Nothobranchius furzeri: one gene and its partners. Each later gene encodes a partner of the first gene's protein in a complex. Links are inferred from orthologs where the notes say so. Each region holds a gene or a part of one and is shown on either strand. Other genes may lie near its edges.

Region 1 (3,753 bases):
TGTGGAATAAGTGCAAAGAGCAGAACAAGGAGAGGGTGGTGAAGGTCCCACCAAAGCCTGAACAGGTGACTTTTCAGCTGCTTTTTAAAGGAGACCACTGAGTCCACTGATCTCAGGCTCAGGGGGAGAGAGGTCCACAGTCTGGGGGCCACACCAGCAAATGATCTGTCACCTTTGACCTTTAGCCTGGTGCTGCACAACCAGTTGGCTTTGATCACTGGACCTCAGGGACCTGCTGGGGGTGTAGGGACTAAGAAGATCACCAATGTAAGATGGTGCTTGTCCATGTAAGGCTCTATAGACCAGAACCAGGATCTTGAAATGAACCCTGAAGTTGACTGGCAGCCAGTGAAGCTGGAGGAGAAGCGGGGTGATGTGGGTGCGTTTGGAGGACTTGGTCAGAAGCCGAGCACAGGCGTTCTGAACCACCTGTAGACGGTTCAGGGAGGTTCTGCTCAGACACGTGAAAAGAGAGTTACAGTAGTCTAAGTGTGTCTCTCTAAGTCTCTAATGCAGTAAAATAAGGCAAACATAGATGTCAAGGAAGCAATTCACCTGAAAATCCTAAAAACCAGCAGCTGTCGTTGATTAGGTAACTGTTTGCTTTGCATGTTTATAAAATCTCAAACAAAAGTACTTTCATCTGAGCATAAGACAACCCGGCTAGTCGTTTAAAAACTGTCATCTGTTTATGCTAGCACAGACATTATACATTAAAACTAAGTCTTAACGTACAGAAATGATCTAAAAAGCAGTAAATCAACATGAAATTAGTTAGCTAACCTACCTCGTTCAAGGAAAGATGCGCTACCAACTTGGAAGGGAGGTGAAGAAAGCAGTTTTTTGTGTTGTTAAAAACGACACGAACGGCTTGAATTCCCTGGTTGCTAAACATAATTTTCGCATTGCTAGCTAGCTTAGCATACACCAGGCAGAGAGAGCAATTGGATTTATCGATGTGCTCTGTGGACGATGGACTCCTCACCAGGCAAAAGTAGTTGATCTTTTGCTTTCAAAATAAAAGAGTATTCTAACAGGCAGCGCGACGGTATTCACTGAACTGTAAGCATTTATTTTGAAAGTGTTAAACCGGAAGCGCAGACGCATTCACTGAACTAAAAGCGTTTATTTTGAAAGTGTTAAACCGGAAGTGCAGACGCATTCACTGAACTAAAAGCATTTATTTTGAAAGTGTTAAACCGGAAGCGCAGACGCATTCACTGAACTAAAAGCGTTTATTTTGAAAGTGTTAAACCGGAAGTGCAGACGCATTCACTGAACTAAAAGCATTTATTTTGAAAGTGTTAAACCGGAACAGCATTTAGAATAAGCATGGCGGTCCCTGTAAACAACAGCTCCGGTTGTTGGAAAGTTCCTGACGTTCACAAACATCACGAACAGCAGAAAGTTTGCATTTCTCGACCAAAGTATCGAGAAGGAAGAAGAGCTAAAGCGGTTAAGGTGAGACAATCTTAGAAGTTATTAATTTCAGCTAAAATGTTCATAAATTCTGTAAAGAAGACACACAAGATTTGCTTTAGCTTAATTGGTAACATCATTCTAATACTGCACTGAACGCAGGAAATGTAACTTTAGTCTTGTGAATTTCCAGGTGTACACCATTAACCTAGAGTCCCGTTTCCTGATGGTACTGGGAGTCCCAGCTATCGGTGTGATGACGGAGCTGGTCCAGCTGTGTGCCCTGTATGGTGTTGTGGAGGAGTACAGACCTCTGGACGAGTATCCGGCTGAGGAGTTTACAGAAGTCTACCTCATCAAGTTCCAGAAGCTAACCAGCGCCAGGTACGATTTATTCGCTCCTCATACTTTACTGGAAATACCTGCTTAATCGTTATCGAATGTTTCTGTTTCAGAGCAGCCAAACGCAACATGGATGAGAAAAGCTTCTACGGCGGTGTGCTGCATGTGTGTTACGTCCCAGAGTATGAGACTGTAGAAGACACCAGGCTAAAGCTACAGGACCGGAGGGGTTATGTTATGAGAGCAGCTCGGAGCAGAGGTATCGTTTAACATCATGTTTGATTTAGTTCTGACCTTTAAATGTTGCTTTTCAATGCTTTAAAACAAATCTTCTCTTACAAAGCAAAAGCGGCGCACAGCGAAGGCTCCGCATCATCGACGACTGCATCAGACATAAACGTCAGACACGATCAAACCTCTAAAAAAGAATGTGCAGAGGATGCTTCAAACCACAGCCAACATGCAGAATTCCCTCCTCTCCCATTACCTCCATGGGAGCAGCATCCCTTTGGACATAACAGTCCACATGGGATCAGCGCACAGGAGGACAAAATGGGAACTTTACATGATGCCATCATAAACTTGAAACAGCCCCAAGTGGAAAAGTTAAGCGTTAACCAAGCCTCAGAGAGAGACCACGACACAGAACACAGACTGACCTCAGATCAGGCTTCAGCATTCAGGTTTCTCCCAAGGTCCTCGCACTTGGAGATCAGGAAACGCAGAATGGAAGAGGCTCCCGAGCAGTCGGCAAGTGTTTCTGGAGGAACCGAGACCCTGATTGGACCGAAATTACCAGAACCACCTAAACTGGACATGAATGATGACTCGTTGAACACAACTGCCAGCCTGATCAGGAACACAATGAAACAGGTCATTGTTGATTCAGTACTTTAATAATTTCATAAAAAGTAAATCAGCCTTAATGAAGGATTAAAACATGTGAATCTTTTTTTTTTTTTTTTCAGGTGGGATCTGCTCCGGGTTTCAAAGCTGTTGAGAAAAAGACAAAACCACGTCGTCGGATATGATCTGGACAGGTGTCTAGATGGGAGTCTTGGAAGAAAACCGACGCTCCCACTGCTTCGGAAAACTGTTTATCTCATCGGCTGTTGTATGCTATGATACCAACCTGTATAAAAAAGGTTAAAAAAAACAGCTATTATGTAAAGAGTGCACAAATTTACATTTAGAAAGCTAAAGAAATACTAATACTGTGTTTCCTATGTGCATGTTGCCGTGGCGCGCCACTACGGAAAAATAAAAGCTGCCACACCTTCAGAAGTAAACAAAAAAAAAACTTCAAACAACGTACCTTCAGAAACATTTTTTTTGGATATACATTAAAACAATAACGAGACATATATAGTCTATATTTGTGCATGTGTACTAACCATAGTCACAGTTTAAAATAAATTTTATTGCAACAAAACTTTAAACTGCAGTTCAAAAAGATCTACCGACCGCTAAATTAGCGAGGGCGCACCGGTGTGGTGAAGTCACCTGAGGACAAAACAGGTGATGCGCTTCGCTCCGCAGCAGCAAAACGCATCGGGCACAAATAAAAGACAGGAAGCATAAAAAGGACACGAGTCGACATAAACAATCGTGTGTTATACGTGGAGACACTGAGAATGTTACTGTCGCCATGCTCAGGACACCGCTCTGGTGCGCGCCAACCATCAGGAGGTGAGCGAAGGAGAGACAAGTGGAGAGGCAGAACAAGGACCAGCATGCATAAGTGAGCATGATGAGGGAGAGAGCAGCAGGGAAGCGGTAAGAGGGAAGAAAAAAGTCAGCACAGAGAATCTGGCTGGGACCCAAAATGGACAGAAATCAAGTTCCGCCCATGGCTGTAATCAAGGTGGGAATCAAGCAATACAAATTATTTCAAGGTAAATATATTTTTACATTTTTTTTATTTAATTGTAATTAAACAATAAGCTGATTTACACACCTGCGATGGACTGGCTCTCTGTTCAGGGTGGCACC
Region 2 (3,654 bases), on another chromosome or scaffold:
AATACATTTTGTAAAATTCATAAGATACCTTCACATATCACATAATACATTTATATGTCGAACATAATCAACAATTCACTTTAAAAACATTATCTAGTTGTTTTGGCACCTTGTATCCCAGTGTGTGCTTTTTGGTGGGCGGTGAGATGCCGAGCAGCCAGAAGATAGCGACGCTGACACAGGTCACCGTACCGGACACCGCGTAGACCCACAGCAGGTGAGTCCCATACACTGAGAAGCCCGGGACAAACACCGCGGGGATGACCGTGGCCATGAACACCGAGGCGGTGATAATCGCGTGAGTAGACGCCATAGCTTTAATTTCATGGTCCCACATGATGAAGACGTGAACTATTTACAACAAGAACCCGATAACGATGCGGGGAAGTCAAATAAAACACCTAAAAAACGTAAGGTAACATTGGGAAACTGTCAGGTCTATGTATTTCTTTTCCGCGTTTCCGTAAACACGAAGACGTAAGAACGTCCGCTTAATTTCACAGTAAAAGTCTACTGCGCACAGACATCTTAGGTGAATGATGAAAAAACATCCGTTTCGAAACATATTATCATAGATTATCGGGTCAGTTTATTTCAATTTCAAGTGAAAAAGGTGTATGTTTTACTTGTTACTCAATCTCTGCTAATGAATACGCTTGGGTTAAATAAGGTAAAAGTGCTTGACTTTATCAAACATTTATTTTGAAGAACCTATAAGCAAATAAACGGGAAGTAGTAAGTTATAGTTCGCGTTGCGTAACTCAATTGTTTTAACCAATCACAGAAGATGTTACTCGTTAAAGCAACCAATGAAACCTGTCATTTGAAATGCCTCAGCTGACCGGACGTTTACATTAGCAAAGCAAGCTAAAGCTAACAAACGATCATTTCTACTGCGTCATTCGACACACCGCAAAGATGGTCTGTGAAAAGTGTATGTATGTCATTTGCTTCTGATTTTCAGACGTATTGTTCATTTTAAAATCTGATGAACGTTACTTTTGTCAGCGAAAGTCTCAAATGCAAACTAGAAGGCCAATAGTTTAGTTCTTATTGTATTTTCCTCCATAATTGTTTTGTTTTATATTTTAGGCGAGAAGAAACTGGGAAAAGTAATTACCCCCGACACTTGGAAGGACGGAGCACGGAATACAACAGGTGACCCGAGGAATGCGTAGTGAAATGTTTTTTTGCCATCAGTATGATAAATTGCTGTTTGTTAATTATTCTAGATATGAGACTTGTTGTCTTGTTTACAAGTTACTTTTGAAAATGTAATCATTGTTTCTATATTTTTTCACGTTACTAGCAGGTTTAGTCCTCATTTGGTTGATCACGCCATAATATAAATTAATTGGTGTTTATTTTTTTTATATTAGTATAGGTATAGTAACATTTAGATGTCCGTGTTTAACAAGTTTGTCTTCTTTCTTTGTGTCAGAGAGTGGAGGACGTAAGCTAAATGAGAACAAGATTTTGACATCCAAAAAAGCCAGGTGAGTAAAAACAATTTATAGAAAAAAATAAACTTTAATTACAACAATCTAATGAATGTAAATACAAATATGAGAAGTCAGAGAAAATATTCTAAACGCATTAATATACTTATCTTAAAATTACCTTCTTGAAATTGAACCAAAAACTGTTATTTTACTAAAGTTCAACCTTATCATATAAAACTTTCTCACCACCATATTTGCTTGGGCATACATTTTGCTGCATTGGCACAAATCACCACATGAATCATCATTAATCATCTGTCCTTAGTATTTTACTTTATGAACCACGTTTAAATCCTGATCTTCTTCATTTCTTGCAATCATAACAGTTGATTTTTACATCATAGCTGGAACACACTCTTAAGTAACTGTTGCAAACCTGCTCTGAAGAGTAAAAGACCATCAAATCTTCAGCAGTCATGAGATGATTGGTCATTATTTCCCCATTCATCCACTCTTATGCTCTCTTAGTTAAATAAAACTTAGATCGTCCATATACAAGTTAAAGGGAATAGGTGACAATATCTGGTGAACCTTATTAGTAACAGAAAAGGAGTAGCTCTCATTTGGTTTTTAGTCTGATTGTAAGATTTGTATAGAATATGAGGTGACACCTTGTTCTTAAATCTTCCTAAAAAGCCCATCATAATGAACTCTTATCTGAACTATTCCTCAGAAGAAGTCACACAACGGTTTAGCTACTGTTTTTCAATGTTGTATATTACTAATTCAAAGTGGTCAGCTGATATAACTGGTCATGTGTGTAACAATTATTTTCATCAGGTTTGACCCTTACAGCAAGACTGGCTTCGCAATCTGCAGGATCTGCAAAAGCTCAGTTCATCAGGCTGGATCTCACTACTGCCAGGGCTGCGCTTACAAGAAAGGTATGAAGTGATTGTGCTGAAGATTTAGTTTTGTGTCACAAAAACGCTACAGCATTTCTATTAGCCCTTTTACATAAAACACACACACACATGCTCTCTATTCAACACCCTGCTGAGTTTTTCACATGTAATCATGTCACCAACAACATTATCCTTTTCCTCTGAGACAAATCCATCTGCATCCTATAGGAAAACGTGACAGTAACTGGGACGAGTTGTGAAACTGCAATGTTTGTCTGTTGTTGAACAATTCAACTTGTGACTTTTCTGCTCAGATGTTTTCATTTTTCAGTGTGTCTTAGTGTCAGAATCCGGAGAAAATTACAGCCTCACATCAACAGAGACTGTACTTGCATAATCTAGAGCCATTCTCGATAGGTTTGTTTGAATACAGTGTGTTTGTACTGTATTTAGGCTGAATGATGAAATGTAAACAGGGCTTTATCTAAAAAGGCATATCTTGATGAACATTGAAGCAAACTGTCTTAGTTGCAGGAAATGAAAGAGTGGAGTGGCCATGTTTCAGATGGTTCATCAAACATGGAAGATGCTCAGTGAAACAAATCATCTTTATAGTTTGCTGAAGTTTTCTTTTTTATTATAATGATTTCAAGGCCTACGTGTCCCATTGAACCTGCTGCCTTTGGTATGTCTTCATGATGATGCCTAGGTAGACTCACAATTAGGAATAGGGCTGCACGATATTAGAAAAACCTGCGATATTCGATAACAGTGTTTAATATTGCGATATCGATATTACTCACGATAAATGAACAAATACTAAAGTATGCAGTGTTGATGTCGTCTGGCGTGTGACGTCTGCTCTGGGTTCAAAGCAAACAAAACTAATGCATGAATTCCATTACAACATAACATTTTTATTGCAAAAATATGCAGCTGCACCTGCTACTGTATTAGTAGCAAAACAATAAACTGCATGCATGCAGTTTCTCAGTGACTTTAAAACATCACCTCCACCATAAAACTTTTTCTGATGCTCCAAATGCAGAAAAACATCCCTTACCAGGGTTTTTGAATAAATAAAAAAATATCAGAAAATAAGTTTAAATGTTAAATAATAGTTAACATCACTTAAATGGAACAGCAAATTCTCTCATTGCTACTGAGCATTTTCTCCACTTATGTGGTTATGATATAAGGCTGTTGCTGCTATTGGGAAGTGAACTGTGCTGGGCCAAACTAGGAGAATATTAAGATTTTCTGAGGGAAAGAGAAAAACAATTGTCTACCTTTCAGAAGAGGAACTG
Region 3 (3,653 bases), on another chromosome or scaffold:
GAAAATTAAATTTTTTACTAAAATGCACTTAAGTGCAAAACTATTGACTACACGTGTCTGCAGCACGATTAGACACACATTTATATAGTTTATCAGAAAAAAAGTTGATTTGGAGGTGACGTGATCTTTAAATTAACTTGGTTACAATAAATGCATCTAAAACTGAATGTTTTGGTTTTAGGTTTAAAGCAAAAACAAAGAAGAATGGATGATTCTCCACCTGCTAATGCAAAAGCACGAGCTTCTGATGGGTCTGACTCTGGTAAGTCAAATCCTCGGCCTAATGAAGCTCAGATCGTACTTCGTTTATACAGCAAGTCTCCATAAAATAGGTGCCATCACCCGAGGGTCATTACTGATCCAGATTAGCTAATCGCTTAGACTAAATTATTCCAGGTGTTTTTTAAAATGTTTTCCTCTTCCACAAAAATAACAGCTTAAAGTCCTGCTCAACGATTTTTTTAAGAATGCTTCCTTTTGTAAACTTTCCTTCCGTTACATTTAAACACAGCATAACGGGTCTTATTGGTAAGACAGAAGCATTGGTTGTCACTTTTACATGATGCTTTTGTAGAGTGGTACGAACACTGATCAGACAACCGATGCTTTGCTTTTCAGAGGAGGACAAAAATGAAAAAGGGGCAACAGCCGACTCGGTGCAGCAGAGACGTCAGTATCGCAGGCAGAATCAGCAATCTTCTTCAGGTCTGTGTCCAGCCTCGTTCGTCCTAACCCTAGATTTTGGTGTTTTTCCTTTACTGCATACAGTAAAAGGCCATTAAAAAGTTTTTATTTGTTTCATGTGGTTTCAGATTCAGGATCTTCATCATCAGAGGATGAGGGACCTAAGAGGTCAGCTACAGGGCCAGGAGCCAGAAACGGTGAAGTGAGGAGGAGGCGTAGCCGCACACCATCACCTCGTAGGCGGCATCGGGACGCCTCCCCAAGGTCAGACGCTTATCTCCTCAGTATCTGGATGATCTGACGTCTGTTAAGGTTTTATGTTTCCATTTGTTCTTGAACAAATGTTTTTATTTGTTATTATTCCTTCAGAAGAAGACGTTCTCCATCTCCTGGACGTAGACGTCGCTCTCCATCTCCCCCACGCCGCCGCAGATCTCCCTCTCCTAGACGCAGGCTAGTAACAATGATCTTTTTATATGGATTTACTGGGTAGGATTAAAAAAACTTTCATTAGTATTGATTTTCAACAATTTTTCTTTTTTTCTTTCCAGGTCTCCTTCACCGCCACCACGTCGTAGATCTATGTCCCCCAGACGTTACTCTCCTCCCATCCAGCGCCGCTACAGCCCCTCACCTTTGCCTCCAGCAAAGAGGAAGTTGTCTAGCTCACCCCTGAGACGCTCCTCTCCAGGTTCCAAGCGACGTTTCTCTAGGTCTCCTAAACGCAGAAGCTCTCCTGGTCCTAGACGGCGCTCTCCTCCTTCGTCCACATCTCCACCCCGTCACAAAAGGAGCCCCATGCCAGCCAGGCCAGGCAGGGACACACGATCCCCTGTTGCGTCTGCCAGACGCCTGTCCCCCTCACCTGCAAACCGCAGTCGGGCTGTCAGACGATCCACGAGTCCCCAGGGACGCTTTGCTTCTTCTAGTACATCTCCATCTAACCAGAGGCGACAGCCGTCCCCTTCACGCAGCAGCAAGCTCATTCGCAGGGTGTCCCGCACTCCAGAACCACACAGGAAGAGGTAAACGAGATGCAAGGAATGGTTCGACGCAATCCGTAAGTCTTTTGAAAGTTTTCTTTACACAACTTTTATTGCTTTAACAGAACTTCACCAAGTCCTAAGCAAATGAGGAGAGCATCATCCAGATCGAGGTCAGTCTCCCCCCTGCCAGCTCCGCAGAAAGGTCCAGCTCCTGCTTCCGCCTCCCCATCTCCTTCTCGCTCAGTCAGTGGGTCTCCCCCACCTCCTCCAGTCAAAAAACCCAGTAGTGCTTCAGGCAGCCCGTCTCCAAGCAAGGTTCGAATTTACTCTTAAATATGACACAACATTCTTTTTTGAAAACAAACAGTTTAAAAGTGTTTTTAAATAATGTTTGTTTTCAGATATCAGATGTTGAAGGTGGCGGAAAGAAAAAGAAGAAGAAGAAGGAAAAGAAACACAAGAAGGAGAAGAAACACAAAAAACACAAGAAACACAAGAAGGAGAAAAGCAGCGGGGGTGCTGTTCCGGGAGACGTAGCGGAGAATCGCGGTGCGGAGGAGGATGGAGAATCAAGAAAGGTAACGTTTGTTCTGTTGTTTTAGTTCATCTCTTCATCGTTTCGGTGGGACCACATGTTAAACACCAACATCGAATCCGTGTGTATTCAGGCAGCTAAACTTTAGTTAAAGGTCTGACATTCTTTTTATTCAGGACTCAGACAGTGACGCCGACGACGGCTTGGACGATCTGGAAAAACATCTTCGAGAGAAGGCCCTGCGCTCGATGAGGAAGGCCCAGATGTCTCCATCACAAATGTCATGAGAACAAGAAAGTTCTGAGTTTTCCTATTTTGATGTTTCTCATCAACTTGGTTCAGCTTTAGAATGTACAAATTGTCGATTCTTGTTTTTTTTTTTAATTGGTTTGGTACATTCTGGAGAGTTTTTCCTTCACTTGATTTGTGGGATAGATTATTATCTAAACTGTAAAGAAACTTGTGTTAATATTTTGAATTTGTTAAGCAAGAAGAACGTTACATTTCAGAGGTTTGAGTAGGGCAGGTTAATGGTATATTTGTCTGTGTACAGTAGATTCCATAGAGAAATGATAGCACGTGCATTGTCTCCGATGTGCATGAACCATTGACTGGTGAGAACGCCATCAAGTAATCTGCTGTTACTAACGCCTTTTACTAGTGGAAACCAAGTCACTACTGTGAGTCCGTCAAGGCTGTAACAAAACGTCCGGTTTTAGAGATGGGCATCATTTAACCTGCTTTTTTCTCCAACTTTGAAATTGTCTTGTTTGAAGATTAAATCTATCTTAAGGATGAAACATGTTTTAATTTTTTTCTAAACTGATTGATATGCAATTTTTGTTAAAAACCCCTGTATTGAGCTAATTTCTGTGGGACTGCTATAGTGTATGGTTTGTATTTAGTAACCTGGTTCCTGTCACGTCATCCTTTCAGAATTAAAACTTTTTTAGGATCCGTGTTTAAATTTTGTATTCATGTGGTTGTTTGTCTACCAATGGTGAATTGGTTAGCATGCAGTTGCTGATATTTTCACGTGAAGGTGCTTGATGATCATAGAATTCCAGAAACTCCGTAAACAGCTTGTGGGTTCACCTCTTCCGCGTTTGCCGGCGCATGGCCCAGCTGCAAGACACGAAGGGAGTGTGAGGCGTCTCTATGAAAAACAAATACATATATAGTTTAAGAACAACAAATGTATTATTTTGATCATTCTGAACTAATTTTCATGCTGGGGTTGTGACAGGCGCTAGTCCGCTATGAGCTGTATGCGAACTCCGACAAGTCTACGCCGGTGTTTAAATGGTGCGAACCTTTTAAAAGTACGAGTCACTAGATTAGACCCGAGGGTAAATTAGACATTGATGTGTCTACGGGGTAAAGTTAAAAGTCCCGGATTCTCATATTAGGCGTCTTTAAATGTCTGAAGTTGTTTCAACAACCAGGAA

Evidence for each region.
Region 2: rbm48 (region 1) and cript share a complex: the UniProt entries of both Homo sapiens proteins name them as parts of the minor spliceosome. The link is inferred for Nothobranchius furzeri from reciprocal best matches to the Homo sapiens genes RBM48 and CRIPT.
Region 3: rbm48 (region 1) and srrm1 share a complex: the UniProt entries of both Homo sapiens proteins name them as parts of the minor spliceosome. The link is inferred for Nothobranchius furzeri from reciprocal best matches to the Homo sapiens genes RBM48 and SRRM1.

Annotation. Positions count from the first base shown.
Region 1 is NC_091759.1:22,195,893-22,199,645, forward strand, and holds rbm48 (RNA-binding protein 48), read left to right. Parts: upstream 1-1,317; 5' UTR 1,318-1,332; coding exon 1,333-1,461; intron 1,462-1,612; coding exon 1,613-1,803; intron 1,804-1,874; coding exon 1,875-2,020; intron 2,021-2,104; coding exon 2,105-2,634; intron 2,635-2,729; coding exon 2,730-2,792; 3' UTR 2,793-3,715; downstream 3,716-3,753. Other genes in the region: peroxisomal ATPase PEX1, read right to left, coding at 788-895. UniProt on the Homo sapiens protein: As a component of the minor spliceosome, involved in the splicing of U12-type introns in pre-mRNAs.
Region 2 is NC_091756.1:43,772,512-43,776,165, reverse strand, and holds the start of cript (cysteine-rich PDZ-binding protein), read left to right. Parts: upstream 1-777; 5' UTR 778-918; coding exon 919-934; intron 935-1,092; coding exon 1,093-1,158; intron 1,159-1,441; coding exon 1,442-1,496; intron 1,497-2,282; coding exon 2,283-2,386; intron 2,387-3,654. Other genes in the region: pigf (phosphatidylinositol-glycan biosynthesis class F protein), read right to left, coding at 110-337. UniProt on the Homo sapiens protein: As a component of the minor spliceosome, involved in the splicing of U12-type introns in pre-mRNAs. Involved in the cytoskeletal anchoring of DLG4 in excitatory synapses.
Region 3 is NC_091758.1:35,720,283-35,723,935, reverse strand, and holds the end of srrm1 (serine/arginine repetitive matrix protein 1), read left to right. Parts: intron 1-181; coding exon 182-262; intron 263-618; coding exon 619-705; intron 706-812; coding exon 813-948; intron 949-1,053; coding exon 1,054-1,137; intron 1,138-1,235; coding exon 1,236-1,709; intron 1,710-1,792; coding exon 1,793-1,985; intron 1,986-2,071; coding exon 2,072-2,248; intron 2,249-2,359; coding exon of another isoform or gene 2,360-2,365; exon of another isoform or gene 2,366-2,381; coding exon 2,382-2,492; 3' UTR 2,493-3,172; downstream 3,173-3,653. UniProt on the Homo sapiens protein: Part of pre- and post-splicing multiprotein mRNP complexes. As a component of the minor spliceosome, involved in the splicing of U12-type introns in pre-mRNAs. Involved in numerous pre-mRNA processing events.